Oryctolagus cuniculus: one gene and its partners. The protein of the gene in region 3 binds, or shares a complex with, the protein of the main gene of each other region. Links are inferred from orthologs where the notes say so. Each region holds a gene or a part of one and is shown on either strand. Other genes may lie near its edges.

What was found. The genes of interacting proteins can lie anywhere in the genome.
Region 1: SNRPD3 (region 3) and SF3B5 share a complex: the UniProt entries of both Homo sapiens proteins name them as parts of the minor spliceosome. The link is inferred for Oryctolagus cuniculus from reciprocal best matches to the Homo sapiens genes SNRPD3 and SF3B5.
Region 2: SNRPD3 (region 3) and PRPF6 share a complex: the UniProt entries of both Homo sapiens proteins name them as parts of the U4/U6-U5 tri-snRNP complex. The link is inferred for Oryctolagus cuniculus from reciprocal best matches to the Homo sapiens genes SNRPD3 and PRPF6.

The regions. Positions count from the first base shown.
Region 1 is NC_091436.1:24,439,723-24,443,818, reverse strand, and holds SF3B5 (splicing factor 3B subunit 5), read right to left. Parts: upstream 2,889-4,096; 5' UTR 2,745-2,888; coding exon 2,484-2,744; 3' UTR 2,157-2,483; downstream 1-2,156. UniProt on the Homo sapiens protein: Component of the 17S U2 SnRNP complex of the spliceosome, a large ribonucleoprotein complex that removes introns from transcribed pre-mRNAs.
Region 2 is NC_091442.1:203,446-209,208, forward strand, and holds the start of PRPF6 (pre-mRNA-processing factor 6), read right to left. Parts: upstream 4,457-5,763; coding exon 4,116-4,456; exon of another isoform or gene 3,968-4,115; coding exon of another isoform or gene 3,945-3,967; intron 3,832-3,944; coding exon of another isoform or gene 3,691-3,831; intron 3,606-3,690; coding exon of another isoform or gene 3,434-3,605; intron 3,357-3,433; coding exon of another isoform or gene 3,175-3,356; intron 2,958-3,174; coding exon of another isoform or gene 2,892-2,957; intron 1,140-2,891; coding exon of another isoform or gene 1,049-1,139; exon of another isoform or gene 970-1,048; intron 1-969. Other genes in the region: SAMD10 (sterile alpha motif domain-containing protein 10), read left to right, coding at 1,049-1,139, 2,892-2,957, 3,175-3,356, 3,434-3,605, 3,691-3,831, 3,945-3,967. UniProt on the Homo sapiens protein: Involved in pre-mRNA splicing as component of the U4/U6-U5 tri-snRNP complex, one of the building blocks of the spliceosome.
Region 3 is NC_091452.1:31,110,819-31,118,109, forward strand, and holds the start of SNRPD3 (small nuclear ribonucleoprotein Sm D3), read right to left. Parts: upstream 4,337-7,291; 5' UTR 4,223-4,336; intron 2,485-4,222; 5' UTR 2,467-2,484; coding exon 2,341-2,466; intron 1-2,340. Other genes in the region: protein GUCD1, read left to right, coding at 4,452-4,662. UniProt on the Homo sapiens protein: Plays a role in pre-mRNA splicing as a core component of the spliceosomal U1, U2, U4 and U5 small nuclear ribonucleoproteins (snRNPs), the building blocks of the spliceosome.

The DNA.
Region 1 (4,096 bases), on a different chromosome or scaffold from region 3:
CCCTTACTTTCCTCAAATGTCCTTATATTGGCTGACAAAGCTCCATTTTTTTTTAAAAGATTTATTTATTTATTTGAAAGTGAGAGTTACAGAGAGGCAGAGGCAGAGAGAGAGAGAGAGAGAGAGAGAGAGAGTCTTTTATCTGCTGGTTCACTCCCCCAAATGGCCCCAAAGCCAGAGCTGCACTGATCTGAAGCCAGGAGTCAGGAGCTTCTTCCAGGTCTCCCACACAGGTGCAGGGGCCCAAGCACTGGGCCATCTTCTACTGCTTTCCCAGGCCAGAGCAGAGAGCTGGATGCGAAGTGAAACAGCAAGGACATGAACTGGCACCCATATAGGATGCCAACGCTGCAAGCCTTGGCTTTACCTGCAACACCACAGGGCCAGCCCCATGTGTTGCCTTTCTATTCTCCCTTTCTCACTGCCTTCAGCCTTACTTCTTTGCCATTCCTACAAGCACACTGCCAGACTTAGGACTATCACACCAGCAGTTCCCTCTGCTTCGCTATTTCCCTCAATTCCTTCGTCTTTGCTATATGCCACCATCTCAGTAATCTAAGTATCATATTTAAAACTGCAAACCTGGGCCGGCGCCGTGGCTCAACAGGCTAATCCTCCGCCTTGCGGCGCTGGCACACTGGATTCTGTCCCAGTAGCCCCTCTTCCAGGCCAGCTCTCTGCTGTAGCCCAGGAGTGCAGTGGAGGATGGCCCGAGTGCTTGGGCCCTGCACCCCATGGGAGACCAGGAGAAGCACCTGGCTCCTGATCAGCGCAGTGCACTGGCCGCAGCACGCCGGCCACGGCGGCCATTGGAGGGTGAACCAACGGCAAAGGAAGACCTTTCTCTCTGTCTCTCTCACTGTCCACTCTGTCAAAAAAAAAAAAAAAAAAAAAAAAACAACAAAAAAACAAACAAACAAAAAAAAAACAGAAAAACAAAAAACTGCAAGCCTCTCTGCTCTCAGGCCCTAGCATCTTCTAACACTTGCTGATTATGCCAACACTTTGGCGTTGTTTACCAGCATAATGTAAGCCCCCAAAGTATAGCAAAAAGCCTATCACATAAAACCCAACAAATACGTTAGGTGACGAAAGAACAACTTGCTTGCCAGCTTGTCATTTCTGAAGAACAGTCAGAAATTCCCAAGGGATGCGGTTTAAAATGAAAGAAAAAGGTAGAATAATAAAAAAAACCTCAAACCTGAAGGCACTATGGATCTGAAAATTTTTTTTCAGGTAAATCTGAGTTCTGAACACAAGGAGGCTTCACAAAGTTGATGGAAAAATGGAATTAGAAGTCGAACTTTCTAGGGGCTTTTAAAATTTCATTTATTTTGCCGGCGCCGCGGCTCACTAGGCTAATCCTCTGCCTAGCGGCACCGGCACACTGGGTTCTAGTCCCGGTCGGGGCGCCGGATTCTGTCCCGGTTGCCCCTCTTCCAAGCCAGCCCTCTGCTGTGGCCAGGGAGTGCAGTGGAGGATGGCCCAGGTGCTTGGGCCCTGCACCCCATGGGAGACCAGGAAAAGCACCTGGCTCCTGGCTCCTGCCATCGGATCAGTGCGGTGCGCCGGCCGCAGCGCACCGGCCGCGGCGGCCATTGGAGGGTGAACCAACGGCAAAGGAAGACCTTTCTCTCTGTCTCTCTCTCTCACTGTCCACTCTGCCTGTCAAAAATAAAAAAATTAAAAAAAATAATAAAATTTCATTTATTTTAAAGTTAGAAATACAGAGTCGGAGAAAGAGAATCTTCCATCTGCTGGTTCACTCCCCAGATGGCAGCAATGGCCAGGGCTGGGTTAGACTGAAACCTGGAGCTTCTTTCGGGTCTCCCACATGGGTGCCTGTGGCCCAAGCACTTGGGCTACCCTTCTCTGCTTTCCCAGGAGCATTAGCAAGAAGTTGGATCAGAAGTGCAGGGGCCAGGCCTCCAACCAGCTGCCCATATAGGATGCTGGCACTGCAGGCGGAGGCTTAACCTTCCAGGGGCTTTCTGAAGCTCCCCAAAGGGCATGCTGGGCGGATTTCAGTGCCTGGCAAGGCAGGCTGGTTCTGTGCCCTCCACCCACCCTCTCCTACTTGCACACGCACAGAACCTTTGGTTCCGAGTCCTCCCCAGCCTTCTCCCCTGGAACACAAACAGATCACACCAAGAGACTTAACAGATTCTAAACTTTATGAAAAAGGCAACGCGACAATCAACTAAGTCAAACACGAGCCTCCAAATCCCCTCACTCCAGTGCCGTCTTCCCCAACGCCCGCCAGCTCTCGGACCTCTTCACCCGCAGTTCTCAGGGAGCCCCGGCGGTCCTGGTGCTGCGTCCCGAGGGATCCACGTGAAGACAGCACCGGCGGGACACCTCGGCGAGCACTTCTGCACCCGGAAGGCCGGAGAAGCAAGGAGTCGCGGAAGAACCAGTCCACTGGAGACAGGAACGCGCGGGCAACGCCGGCGATCGGGAGGCTCGCTGGAGGAGGCGCCGTCTCAGTTTTCCTCGGGCTTGTCAGCGGGGGGGCCGCAAGGCTGCAGCATCTTCTCCATCAAGTTGAAGCGCACTCGCGCTTTGCTCTCATTCTCCGCGATGGCGAAGTAGTTGAGAAGGTCGAAGTGGCCCATGTAGGAGCAGTAGGAGTCGCGGTGCTGGTTCACCAGCCACTCCCACTTGGTGGTGTCGGCGTGGCCCGTGCCGATGTACTTGGACTGCAGGTGCTCCAGCTGGCTGTGGATGGTGTAGCGGTCTGTCATCTTGCCGCTTTCCCTTTCGCTCCGAAGTCAGAAGTCGCACGAGGGTTAGGAACCGGTCTCGGGTTTCCCGCCGGAGAAAGGCCAGCACACGGAACCGGCAGCCTCGCTCAGTCGCAGAGAAATTGCGTCACAGCGACGGAGTGGCGGAGGACGCGGAAGCGGAAGCACATTTTGAAGCCGTATTGGAGTTGCCCTAGCGACACTGAAACTGTCCCGCCCCTTTAACAGAGTCCCGCCCCCCGCCCTCGGAGAGCGTTGCATGATGGTCCACTTGGTGGTCCGTGGGTGGCCCTGTACTGACGTAGCGTCTTGCATGCTGGGATTTGTGGTCTCTTCCGAGACCGCGGTTTAAGAGCTGAATGGAGGGCAGAACCCCAGAGGCGGGGAGCATGCGTTGTCGGCCCGGTGCTAAGAGAAAGTGGGCCAGTGGGCCAGTGGCACAGGCAACCAAGAAAATAAACCCTTGGTGTAATTAGGCGCTGACGAGGCGGCACGGTAGCCCCTTCACAATCGGGTGGCTTACTGAGGTCGGCAGACGCGACCTCTGGTCCCACGCTCTAGCGGGGCCGCCGTTCCCGTTCGGTGACCCTGCACAGCCCCGGGGCCGAGTCGCTTGGGCGCCCCCGGCGCACACTCCTTCGGTCTCGCCTCTCGGGCTGGTGGCCCCCGGCGACTCCACGCCGACCCCCACGACCCCGGCCCGCACTCGGCCAGGTGCCGCGCGCGCCCGCGTCCCCTTCGGAGCCGTTAGCGCCCGCGGGAAAGGCTTTGTTCCCGCGGCGACGCGTCTGCCTTCGGTTGGCTCCTCCTTTGCATCTGATTTTCGCTTTATGTTTTACCTTTTGGTTTAAAATTCACGGCGGTAGAAATACTTGAGGAAAAAACAAACCCATACTTATCTTAGGATATCCTTTTTGGATATTCGTACAGCCTGATAGATTGTGTTCTCCAAAAAACAGTTGAGGGATAGAGAGACAACTACAGCCAAAGAGAGGAACGCTGCCCGGAGAGCAAGAACTTTAAAAAGCAGTTTTGTTTTGCTCTTTTCAGCTTGACAATTCATTCCTAAAGTGTGGAAAATTTATAAGGTATATCTTTGGCTTCATCCTCTAGGTGTATCAAACCTTGACATTTTGCCGTATTTGTCCTGATTTTGTTTTGATTTTTAAGAGATAAATTCTGCAAATAAACGTTCTCCGCGTTCCCTTCCCTCATCTCTTGGACACTGTCCTGGATTTAATGTCAATCATTCTGTTTTCCAATTGCTGAAAGTTTGTGTATCCATAAACAATAGCTGATAGGCATGGTTTAAACCTATGAGTAGCATATATAATGCTGTAAAAGTTGCTTTT
Region 2 (5,763 bases), on a different chromosome or scaffold from region 3:
CTGGGCACGCACTCCTTTGTTTTTCTGAAAGGCGGAGTGACAGAGCTGCCAGGCGCGCCCCAAATGGCCACGAGGACCAGGGCTGCGCTGGGCTGAAGCCGGGAGCTGGGAGCTCCACCGGGTCTCCCTTGTGGATGCCAGAGGCCCCGCACTTGCGCCATCCTCTGCGGCCTCCCAAGTGCACTGGCAGGGAGCTGGATCGGAAGCGGGAGTAGCCAGGGCTGGAATCAGGCCGCCCCTGCCCACTGGGCCAGCCCGGAGCTCCACGCAGGCCTCACTCCCGGGGGCAGGGACCCCGTGACTCGAGGTCCCCACTGCCTCCCAGGACACGCAGGCCGGTGGAGGACCGGGTGCTGCACCTGCGATTCTGCAGCCCCCACAGGGCCCAGGCAAGGCAGAAAGCTCAGCCACTCGCAAGCCTCGTTTTCCTCACAGCTCAGGCCAAAGACCCCTGTGCCGGTCCCCAGCACCTCCAGCCAGGACCCTGGAGCAGGCGCCCCCGCTGCCCCACGGCCTCGGCCTCCTCGAGCCTCTCTCGCCCCTTGTGCGTTCTCGAGCCTGCACCTGCCAGCGCAGCTCCCCCACGGCTCGCGCTGGGACTGCAGGGCGAGGGGAGCTGCCTCCAGGCCAGCAGGAGTGGGGGATGGCAGGGGAGGGTCGCGCGGGCTTCTCTGGGAAGCAGGTGCCCATCTGAGGGAGAGGCCTAAGAAACCCGATTATATCAGCGGGGACGAGGGGGCCGGGGCCCCCTGCCTGGCCCCGGTCGGTCAAAGCCCCCGGAGAGGGCGACCCCGGCAGGTGCGCGGCGACTCGCGCCCCGAGAACACACACGCCAGGCACACGCGGCCCCGCGCGCGCCGCCCCACCTCGGAGCGCCTGGAGCGCGCTGCGCTCGGGCCGGCGGCAGGTGCCTCGCCGCGCAGACTCGCGGGCCGAACCGGCTCGGCGGGGCGGCCGGGCGGGGCGGGGCGGGGCGGCGCGCGCTCCCCGCCGGCCACACCGGCCGCCTGCGCGGCCAGGGGCGTGCGCGGGCGGCGCCGCGGGCCCCATGTTCGCCGAGCTGAGGGCCAACCGAAGCCCCCCGCGAGGCCGCGCCGCGGCTGTGCGCGCGGGCTTCGGGGAGCGCCGGGATGTGGACGGTGAGCGGGACGCGGGCGCGGGCGGGGGCCCCCTGGCCTGAGCGTGTCCCCACGGCCTCTGTGCTGCGCTGGGGGCGGCCGGCCTCCGCGGCGTGGGGTGGGCTGAGCCCGGCCGCGCCTGTCCCGCACCGGGGTCACCTTTCGGGAGGTACCCAGGCTGCAGCCCCGCTCCCCTGCCCCTCCCTCCTGGAACGGGACGTTGAGGCGGGGAGGGATCAACCCGCGCCGGGTGCCGGCAGGAAATGGGCGGGCCCCGCCGGCTCCGGGCAGATGCGGTTCCCGGGGCGCGGCGCCGAGCGCCCGGAGATCCTGGGAACCGGTCCCCGCCGCACCGGGCTCCCTCGGTGGCCGCAGTGGCCACACCCTTAAGTCTGGGCCTCTGAGGTTCCCAGGGTCGCCGGAGCCTTACGGGGTGCAAGACCGAGGGTTCCCCCATTGCTCAGCGCGAGACCAGGGCCAGCCCGGCCGCCGCAGGACCCGCCGGCTGTGTCGGGGGCGGGGCCCGGGGCGCCGCCTGTGCACCGCGACCTGACAGCAGCCGGGATCCCACCGGGATGGGAGAGGGTCCGCGGAGCCGCTGCCTGCCCCGGGGGTACCAGCACCGGGAAACAGGCTGAAGGAGCAGGGAGGAAGGGGCGTCACTGGGGTCTCTGGGCAATGGCTGCACCCCTGTGCTAAGCACCAGGTGCTGTCCTGGGCCCAGCTTGTGGTGCGGGAGGATTTGCCAGGGCAGGCCGTCAGGAGGGACATGGGGCAGGGCTGTGGACACAGTGTTTCGGGCCAGGGCGACTTCAGTGGGACCGTCTCCCTGCAAAGGCTGCCCAGCAGGCAGGGCCTGCCCTCTGCAAAGGCAGGTCCTGTGTGTGTGTGTGTGTGTGTGGGTCCCTTGTGTGTGCCCAGGTCCCATGTGTGTGCACAGGTCCCATGTGTGTGCACAGATCCCATATGTGTGTCTGCAGGTCCTGTGTGTGTGTGCGTCCTGTGTATGCACAGGTCCCATATGTGTGTCTGCAAGTCCTGTGTGTGTGCATGTGGGTCCCATGTGTGTGCCTGCAGGTCCCGTGTGTGTGCACACAGGTCCTGTGTGTGTGTGCACAGGTCCTGTGTGTGTGTGCATGTAGATCCAGTGTGTGTGTTTGCAGGTCCTATGTGTGTGCACAGGTCCCATATGCGTGCCTATAGGTCTCATGTGTGTGCACAGGTCCTGTGTGTGTGCCTGCAGGTCCCATGTATGTGTGCACAGGTCCCATGTGAGTGCCTGTAGGTCCAGTGTGTGTGCACAGGTCCTGTGTGTGTGCCTGCAGGTCCCATGTGTGTGTGCACAGGTCCCATACGTATGCACACACGCACACAGGTCCCATGTGAGTGCCTGTAGGTCCAGTGTGTGTGTGCATGGGTCCCATATGTGTGTTTGCAGGTCCTGTGTGTGTGCCCAGGTCCCATGTGAGTGCCTGTAGGTCCAGTGTGTGTGCACAGGTCCTTGTGTGTGTGCCCAGATCCCATGTATGTGAATGAAGATCCTGTGTGTGTGTGCACAGGTTCTGTTTATGTGCCCTGGTGCCATGTGTGTATGTGCAGGTCTCGTGTGTGTACATGCAAGTCTTGTGTGTGTGCACACTGATCCTGTGTGTATGTGTGTGTCCAGGTCCCGTGTGTGTGCTCTGGTCCCATGTGTATGTGTGCACAGGTACTATGTGTGTGTGTACACGGGTCTCGTGTGTGTGTGCACTAATCCTGTGTGTGTATGCCCAGGTCCCGTGTGTGCATATGCAGGTCCTGTGCTGCATGCGGGAGGCTCAGAGGCCAGCCCTAGGCAAGGTGTATAGCTCAAGGCTGCCCCTGCCGCCCCTGCCGCCCCTTGCCTGGCTCCCTGGAGTGTGGGTCCTCTGCAGGTAGGAGGCGTGGTGCCTCCAGTCTCTGGACTCCTGCCGGGGGGGGGGGGGCTTGGGGATGTGACTCCCCTCAGGGGTGGGGAGGAGACGGGCACGACAGGGGAGCTGCCTCTCAGGAGCCTGACCAGGGCCCCCGCACACAGCCACCGCCCACTTCAGCTTCTGCCGGACCGTCCTGGAGCACACGGTGTCCGCCGAGAGCATCCCCTGCCACCTGCCTCGAACGCCGGGCACCAGCCTCACGTGGCACGACCCCCGCAGCCAGAGGGCGTGCGGCAGCAGACCCATCAAGCTCCTGCAGCAGCCAGGCACAGAGGCCCCCCAGGTACCCCGCCGCCCGCCCCCGCCCCCCGCGCCCACTACGCCACCCTCACTGCGCCCACCACCCTCCTCTCCCTGCAGGGCCAGCTGTACTCGGACCACTACGGCCTGTACCACACCAGCCCCCCGCTGGGCGGCCTGACGCGGCCCGTGGTGCTGTGGACTCAGCAGGACGTGTGCAAGTGGCTCAAGAAGCACTGTCCCCACAACTACCTCGTCTATGTCGAGGCCTTCTCCCAACACGCCATCACCGGTACGCCGGCTGCTGCCCTCCCGCGCCCCTGGGTGAGTCCCGAGTGTCCCTGTGGGCCTCAGCTTGTCCGCCCCTCTCCCTGCAGGCCGGGCACTGCTGCGGCTGAATGCGGAGAAGCTGCAACGCATGGGGCTGGCGCAGGAGGCCCAGAGGCAGGAGGTGCTACAGCAGGTGCTGCACCTGCAGGTGCGCGAGGAGGGGCGGAGCCTGCAGCTGCTCAGCCAAGGTCTGTGGGAGAGGCTGGGGGCGGGGCTGGGAGGGGTCTCTGAAGGATCTCAGGAGACTGGCTGGAGGGGCCCGGGAAGGGTCCACCCCCATTCGCCCCCATCTACCCCGCAGCTTCCTTCGGAAACATGTCCTAGCTGCTGCTGAGGCTCAAACCCCAGACCAGCACTGTGACTGGAGCCCGTGGCCAGGGACGAAATGGTGCTGGCGGCTCAGCTCCCGGACCCTGTGGACGCCTGGGCAGCAGAGCCCAGTTCTGTGGACAGGCGGGACCAGGACGCTCACCTCCAGGTGCTTCTGGGTGGGCACTCCACGCCGCATCGGGGTTGGGCGCCCTTCCTCCTGGGACCAGAGCACGTGCTGCTGGCCGCGTGTGCAGCAGCTCTCTCGAGCCAGAGATGGCCAGGTGCCTGCAGCGTCACAGCACTGACCCGTCTGCCACCCAGCTGGGATGAACTCCTCAGCCCTCCTAGCTCGGTGCCCCTCCTGTCCCTGCCAGGGCCCGGCAGGCCCAACTCACGGCCCAGAGGAATGGTCATCAGAACCCAGCGGCTGGCTGCCACACCCAGCGCATGCTGAAGCTGGCTCCCTGCTCCGAGTCCGTGAGAACTGAGGCCAGGGGGCATCCACACCCGTGAAGACGAAGCCACCCAATGAGGTGACCTCACGCAGGGGCCTGGGCTCAGTGCTGCTCCTCAGCCGGTGCCTGGGGGACTATTGCGATCCAGCATCTTCTGCCCGGGTCAGTGGCACAGACATTTTCCGTTGTCACTCTCCCGGGAAGATCTGGATTCACAGGAGAGGCTGTCCCAAGGGCCTCGGCCCCACATCTGCCCACAGACGCCAGAGCATCCCCTCCCTGGGTGCAGGGCAGCCCTCTCCCACTCCCCCCCCCCCCGGGCTCTCTCAGGGACAGATGAGGCTGAGCCCAGCCCCTCTGTGTGCCCTGAGCCGGCCTTGGGTGCGAGGTTGGTCATCGCAGCCGCAGGTCCCGAGTGGCATTCGGAAAACTGGCCTGGCACCTCCGTCCTGTGCCATGACCCCCAGCTGCCCGTGTCCCTGTCCCCGACCACCCTGTGCTATAGGTCTTTCCCCAGGGAGCCCTTCCTGCCGCCACCCATCCTCCTGCCTCTGTCTTGCCCACCCCGTGCCCCTGTCTTGTCTTGTCTTGCGTTCACTTTTTTATACTCTGACAAAGAGAAGAAAAAAACAAACAAATAAACGTGGTTCTCAAGTGCCTGCTGCACTGGGTGTGGGGGGGGGGGGCGGCATGCCTGGCTGCCTGCAGGCCGCGCCACCAGGGGGCAGTGGAGCTGCGTTCTGAAGAGGCCTCCCCCAAGGCGGAGGCCACAGCCGGGGCGCCCCACGGGGGGTCCTGGGGCTGCTGTCCCGGGATGGGGCCTTTGCCTTCTCTGAGGCCAGAGGCCAACCCCAGTGGGGCCTCCAAGCCCCTTCGGGTTTCTGGTGCCTGCCTGTTGGCCCTGGCTCCCTCTCATCTCCCCAGGCAGGGACTCTGTGTGCAACCCTCCTCCAAAGAAGGCCTCCCCTGTAGGGTCGGGGCTCCAGCCTCCCACACAGGGCAGGGTCGGGACACAACACCCCAGCCTCACGGTATGGCCACCCAGGCACACGAGGGCACCGGGCCGTTCATTCGCCAGCCCTGGGCAGGCACTGGCAATGAAGTCTCGCCCCAGGGGACCCAGGCCAGCCCCTCCCCCGAGGTCCTGGTGAACCTGAGTTCTGCCCCCAGGCTGGGCAGGGGGTGCTGAAGCAGAGGGCCTGAGAGAGGGCTATGCACCTGTCTCTACCTCCCGCGCAGCAGTGTCCAACGGGGTGCAGAGGTCCATGAGCTTTCCTGGGGCGTCTGAAACTCAGCAGATGCAGCAGCACACACAGCAGAAGCCTGTGGACGCTGTGGCCCACACAGGGTCCA
Region 3 (7,291 bases):
CGGGTCTGACAGTTCTGCTCCCTCTTCTCATTCTCCCTGTCATTTTCCACTATCTCACACATCCAGTTGTCCTAGCAGCTATGTCTCAGGGCACCCAAAATAGCAGCACCCCCATTTCACTGATGAGGAAGGTATGTGGCTACTAAACCTGAGGTCATATAGCCAGGGTTCAGAGTCATGTCTCTCCAATTTCTGATTCCAAAACCCAAGTTCCTTAAAAAACAAAACAAAACAAAACATATTTACTTGAGAAAGAGAGAGAGCTCCCATCCACTGGTTCACTCTCCAAAAATGCCCGCAAAAGGTTGGCCCAGGGCAAAACCTGGAACCAAGAACTCAATCCAGGTCTCTCAGGTGGGTGCTATGGACTCAGTTTCTTGCCCACCAGGGTGCACAGTTAGAAGGAACCAGGAGTGGAAGCGGCGCTCAAATACAGGTGTTTAGACACGAGATACTGAAATCCCAACTGGCATCTTAACCATCAGGCAAAATTCCTGCTCCCAGAGCTTGGGCTCCTAACCAACGGTTTAAAGAATAAAGGGCATTGTGGTGCAGTGGGTTAAGCAGCGGATTGCGATGTCAGCATCTCGTATCAGAAGGCTGGTTCAGGGGCCAGTGCCGTGGCTCACTTGGTTAATCCTCCACCTGCAGTGCTGGCATCCCATATGGGCGCCGAGTTCTAGTCCCAATTGCTCCTCATCCAGTCCAGCTCTCTGCCATGGCCCAGAGGGCAGTGGAGGATGGCCCAAGTGCTTGGGCACCTGCACCCAGCATGGGAGACCAGGAGGAAGCACCTGGCTTCTGGCTTTGGATCCGTGCAGTGCTGGCCGTAGCGGCCATTTAGGGGGTGAACCAATAGAAGACCTTTCTGTCTCTCTCTCTCACTGTCTATAACTCTACCTGTCAAATTAAAAAAAAAAAAAAAAAAAAAAAAGAAGGCTGGTTCAAGTTGTGGTTGTCATGCTTCTGATCCGTTCCCTGCTAACACGCCTCTGAAGGTAGTGGGAGACCTTGGAAGTGCTTGGGCCTCTGCCACCCACGTGGGAGAACTGGGTAGAGTTCTAGGCTCCTGCCTTGGCCTGGCTCAGCTCCAGCTACTTTGAATATATGGGGAATAAACCAACAGATGCAAGATCTCTCTCCCTCTGCCATTCAAATAAATAAATAAAATTTTAAACAAAAAAAGAACATGTGCTGACACTCTGGAAAATAATGCTATAAAAAATACTTGATGGTGCTGCAGCATAGCAGGTAAAGCCGCCACCTGCAGTGCCAGCATCCCATGTGGGCGCCGGTTTGAGTCCCGGCTGCTCCACTTCTGATCCAGCTCTCTGCTATGGCCTGGGAAAGCAGTAGAAGATGGCCCAAGTGCTCAGGCCCCTGCATCCATGTGGGAGACCCAGAAGAAGCTCTTGGCTTTGGCTTGGCTCAGCTCCGGCCATTGCGGCCATTTGGGAAGTGAACCAGCAGATGGAAGCTATCTCTCCCACTCTTTCGCTGTAACTCTGCCTTTCAAATAAATCTTTTTGTTTTAAATTTACCTGACTATGTAAAAAGCAGTGCTTTGAGAAAGACACCACGTTAGAAAGTTGCTCTATCATTTATTAGCAGAGCAATATTCAGTAGATGAGTCCTTTAACCACATTCTCCCTCTTTCCTGGATGCCGAGACTATCACCAAACTCATTTACCTCACTAGGCAGCTGCAGTAATCAAACATGACCCCTCTTCTAAGAAAAAGAGCACACAGGTTTCTGCTCACTGTGTGGGGTGGTGGGGGTGGGAGGGTAATGGCCCTGAACCTGAAGAATTCTGCTGAAGGTGGTAACACCATTTCTCTCAAACAGGCCCCAAAACATGGGAGAGGCTGGCACTGTGGTGTAGCAGGGGAAGCCACTGCCTGCAACACTGGAATCCCATACGGGCACCGGTTCAAGTCCCAGCTACTTCACTTCTGAGCCTGCTAATGCACCTGGGAAAGCAGTAGAAGATGGCCCAAGTGCTTGGGTCCCTGTACGTGGGAGTCCTGGGAGAAGCTCCCGGCTCCCAGTTTCAGATCAGCCCAGATCCAACCACTGTGGCCATTTGGGGGAGTGAACCAGTAGATGGAAGATCTCTCCCTCTCTTTCTCTGCCTTTCAAATAAATAATAAATCTTTAAAATGGGGAGTTGGGAGGGGACAATTATGGGATGGAGAAGGCAAAGGCCAAAGTTAACTATTCCAAATCTCCATACGGTTCTTTGCCCCAGTACTGTCTCTTGCTCAGGCCCACAGTCCCGGAGCCCGCGGCAGCGCCTGCCACACGTCGGGCACAATGGAGACGCCGCCAGCCTCCCGTACCTGGCAGTTCATGTTGTCTTCTGCCTCGATGAGCTTGCCCCGATACACCTCGCCGGTGTTGGTCTCGCAGGTCACGATGTGGCCCTCGGCCTCGTGCAGGACTTTGATCGGCACACCGATGGACATCTCGGCAGGAGGAGAGTGCTGTGGTGGGAGACACAGCAGTGAGCCCAGCCTTCAGAGCCAGAGGCCGCGTGTGGTGCGCACCATGTCTCCCCAAGGCCTGGACCCCATAAAACCTAACACCGGTGCCAAAGCTGCATTTTCTACACAAGAGCAGCTCAGCTCCTGGCTTGGAGGAGCCTTCCTGGCAAATACACACAATATGAAGAGGGGAGAGACAGCGTGCTGGACAGAAGGAAAGCTCACGGAAAGGAAAAGAATCTCCCACCTACCTCCCTACTCCTCACCTGCTCCCATGTCCCTTTACCTAGAGACAGAGTAAGGGACACAGATACAGATACAGAGAGAGAGAGAGAGAGATCTTCCATCCGCTGGGCCACTCCCCAAATGGCTGCAAAGCCTGGAACTGCATCTGGGTCTCCCTATGTGGGTGGCAAGGGGCTCAAACCTCAGGCCATTATCTGCTGCCTCCCAGGAGCACTGGCAGGGAGTTGGATAGGAAATGGAGCAGCTGAGAATCAGCCTGGCACTCTCACGTGGGTGCCAGCGTCACAGGTGGCAGCTTAACCAGCTGCCCCACAACACTGGCCCCTCATGTCCCTTTTCCTTGGCCAAGATAACCAGTGACCAATGTGGTCTGTGTGTTGGGAGAGAGGCGCTCGGAACGTCCATGCTGAGCAACACATCTGCCTATCCACAGCTGTGGGTGACTGCATCCTGAAAACCACGATGGGGTGCAGCGGGTACACCGGCATCCCACAGGGGCACTGGTTCAAGTCCCGGCTGTCTACTGCCACTCCAGATCTCTGCTGATAGCCTGGGAAAGCAGGAGAGGATGGGCCAAATGCTTGGGCCCCTGAACCTGTGGGAGACCGGGGAGAAGATCCTGACTCTGGCCTGGCCCCCAGCTCCAGCCGTTGCAGTCATTTGAGGGAGTGAACCAGGGGATGGAAGATCTCTCTCTCTGCCTGCCCCCGACCCCGACTGTGTAACTCTGCCTTTCAGATAAATGAATCTTACAAACAAACCAACCAACCAGAGGACCCAGACATATCCAGGAGAGGAGGCTGTGTTTTTATTTCAGCCTCTGACTTTCCATTCGCTTTACTGTTAAAGCTAAAGAGAAAACAGCAAAGCGGTCACAAAGGGACAACGTGTAGGAAACTGCTTATCTTGGAGGAAAAACACAAGGATCTGCCGACGTAGTTGAGAGACAAGCAGTGGAGTTTTTATTGAGCCAGGTAAGGACGCAAGGCTGGCACGAAATAAGGGAGAACACGACAGGGCAGCCAGGCTCGCTCCGTGAGGATCCCCAGCCCTCCGCCGCCAGAGCTGGAATGTTACGTTTCAGAGAGCACGGAACCAGCGCGGGATCTCAAGGAAGGAACGACCCAATGGAAAGGTATCAGCGTTTACAGGCCAAATCGAACACACAGTTCAGAAGCAGAGGAACTTCGGAAAACGCTTTTGCAATGGCGTGGAAAGCACGAGGGGCTGCATCAGCGCCGGAAAAGGGGGCTGGAGGCCAAGGATGACGCCGATGGAGTTCAGGGACGAGGCTAAGCAGCCAGAAACGAGGGGGAGGTAACGAACTCACTCCCCAGGCTCAGGCGAGGCGACGCGGGTGTCTGGGTGTCCCGGCTTCCCGCTTCCTTCCCTCCCGGAGCCCTGCGCGGTTCCTTGCAGCGCGTCCTGCCCCAGCCCCCGATCCCTCACGAGCGCCTAGGCCTCCCCTTTCCCGTCCCCGGCCCCTACTCACCGGCTCGAGCCCCTTCTTCCTCCTCTTCGGTGCTGCGACAACAACTGCGAGAGAGAAGGCGTGAGCGGGGCGAATGGCGGGCCTTGCACTCCCAGAATACCACGCGCTCCCAGAATGCCGCGCGCGGGGACCGTCCCAGAGCGCGAGCTCGTCTCCGCTTCCTCCTTACTCCGCCGGCTGGGAAACGCGGACCCAGGTACGATAGTTCCGGCGCCGGAAGAGAGGGCTGATGACAGGGCCCGGGGGCCGCCGGAAGCCCCGACGCGGGGGCCCGAAACGGGAGAGGGGGGCTTGCGCTTCCAAGCACCCCTCACAAAAGACTGGCTGGACGACAAGGAGGGGATCTACAGCCTGGGTCCTCGGATCCGGGGCAGCAGGAAGTGGGAATGAGGGCTGGGACCTCCCCTCACAATTTAATCTTTGGAACCCGGCACTGCCAGGTAACGGGAACTCTCAGAGAGGGGAGGTGTCGTGTCTGGACAGAGAAACTGAGGTACCAAGTGGAGCAGGGGCCGGCTCAGCACTAAAGAGATCAGAGTACGGTTGCCTGGACCCTAGGCAATCACAGGGCCGGAGCCGGCTTACAGCTGAAGCCGGCAAAGGGGTGGGGCCTGGCAGAGGCGGGGCTTGCTGAGGGAAAGAGCCCCTGGGGAGCCAGTGTTTGCGCTGCGCCGAGCCCTCGGGGAGGGGCTCAGAAGGGGCGGAGCTTCCGGGGGACCGAGCGAAGGAAGGGCCCGCGCGTCTGCGCGAGGATTCGGTAAGGGGGCGGAGCTACCAGAAACCGAGACTGTGAATGGCCAGGCCGGGCTTAAATCATGAGGCTGGAAGCCTCTAGGAATCGAAGTCTGGGACTGGGAAGGGGCGGGGATTAGGGGAGGGGCGGGGCCTCCGGATCCAAGACCTGGAGTGGCTGGGGCGGGGCTTGGGGCTGCCCGGCCGCCGCCTCCGCTTCTCCCCGCTGTGGCGGTGGCGGCGGCGGCTACGGCGTTCGACACGCATTGGCTGCGCTCCTGCGCCAGCTGAAGCCGAAGCTGCAGCCCGCAGCGGGCCGGGGCCATGGGCGCCCCGTGCTGCGCGGGTCATGAGGACGGAGGCGGAGGCAGCGGGGCCGCCGCTCGAGCCGGGTCAGTGCCTCTCTCTGAGGGCCCAGCCCTCAGCCCCGGGGAATGAGGGGGACCCCGCCCTAGCGCGGAGCAGGGTCCATCCGCGCGCGTCCCTGGCCGTCTCTGCCCAGGCTGTGGAGCTGTAGCGAAATCATGGCCAGGTGGACACCCTTGCCTCGGGCTCTTCTCCCTTCCCCCAGCCTCTGGTCAGCTGGGGTTTCCTGATACTAACAGGGCAGGGACCCCAGTCAGCTGTGCTGGCGGTCACGTGGGAGGGCCCCGGGTGGAGAGGGTGCCAACTACGCAAAAGTCCTCCTGTAGCCGCCTTGGGAGAGTCCGCTCTCTTGGGGGAACTGAACCTGGGTGGGCAGGGACCTGGGTGGGCCCTTCCCTTAGCTTGCAGGACGTAGCTAGTCTTGTTTGCTTGCTACGGTTACCATTCTCTGGTTCCTTCTGCCCCAAGGTAACCTGAGCCCCTCTGGGCTGGAGCCTGAGAATACCGCTCAGTGCCCTGGGCCTCAGTTTGCTTGTCCAAGAAGTAGGGGAGGTTGGAAGTCGGCTTCCTGCAGCTCAGAGTTGATGAGAAAGGGACAGTGCCCCGGCAGGTTCCGAGGGGCGCACTCGTGGGAGAGAGGTGGAGCAATAGGGGGGACCGCGACTGCCAGGAGTGATCTCTTTGGTGGCGGCAGCGTGACATTGGGCCTGATGTCACCTGGGGATTTAGAGTCCTACCCTTCCAGTTCTTTCTGGTCTTGGGCAAGAGTGGTGCGGCTCCTGAGCCCCCGAGGAGTCAGGGCTTATGTTGGGAGGGAGCAGTCCAGGAAGCAGGCGTTGTGTTCAAATGTTTACCTGCAGTGCCCTCGCAGTCCTCGTAACAGCCCAGTGAAGCTGGTCACTGGTGCCGGTTGCTGTTTTGCAGACCCGTATCCACAGTCAGTGGACTGCCTTCCTTCCTTGGCTGTTGGGCAACAGCCACTGACCGAAGCCAGGCCGGGGGCCTCCCAGGCAGACGCTTGCCTCCGGACGAATGTCAACATCTGGCGCTGTCTCTAAAGCTTAAGCTGTTATCAGGACAAATGCCGAGAGGCCTCGCCTACCCTTATCACCCTCTGCAGAAGCATCCGGGTCCCTGTGGGCGGATCAGCCTGTGCCAAGACTGAGGATGGCCACGTGGGGGGTGTTTAGCCCTGTGGGAACCCTAGGATCAACGGATTCATGTTTTGTTTTTTAAGATTTATTTTATTCAAAAGGCAGAGTTACAGAGAGGCAGAGGCAGAGAGAGAGGTCTTCCATCTGCTAGTTCACTCCCCAAATGGCAGCAACGGCTGGAGCTGTGCTGAAACCAAGCCAGGAGCCAGGAGCTTCTTCTGGGTCTCCCACGTGGGTGCAGGGGCCCAAGGACTTGGACCATCTTCCACTGCTTTCCCAGGCCACAGCAGAGAGCTGGACTGGAAGAGGAGCAGCCGGGACTCGAACTGGCGACCATATGCGATGTTGGCACTGCAGGAAGCGGGTTTACCCGCTACGCCACAGCGCTGGCCTCAGATCAAGGGATTCTAGGGCTGAGGACAAGAACAGGAGAGGAGTTGAGTGTCCTCAGAGAGCAGTTCTCCTGTACCACATTTTCCAGCTGGGGGTAGGGGAAGCCAGAGGCCACAGGCAGGGTCATAGCCTGGCAGGAGGTGGCCCAGCCAGTCAGTGCCAGAACTCAGGCTCCAGGCTGGAGAGAGAGAGCCTGGGGTGGAGGAATAGTCTGGAAACTGGGGCGGGTGGGGGAGGACGGAGGGGCCAGGGGAGTGCACTGTAGTGACAGACTGGCGTGGGCATGTTAAGAGATAAAGTGTTTCTGGAGAAAGCCTCTTCCATTCACCAAGCGTGTCTGCATGCCTGCTATGGGCTGAGGGCCAAGTGGAGGCGAATGTCCCCGCCCACCGCCAAGGAAGTCTTCCTTCCATCTAGTGGGGCA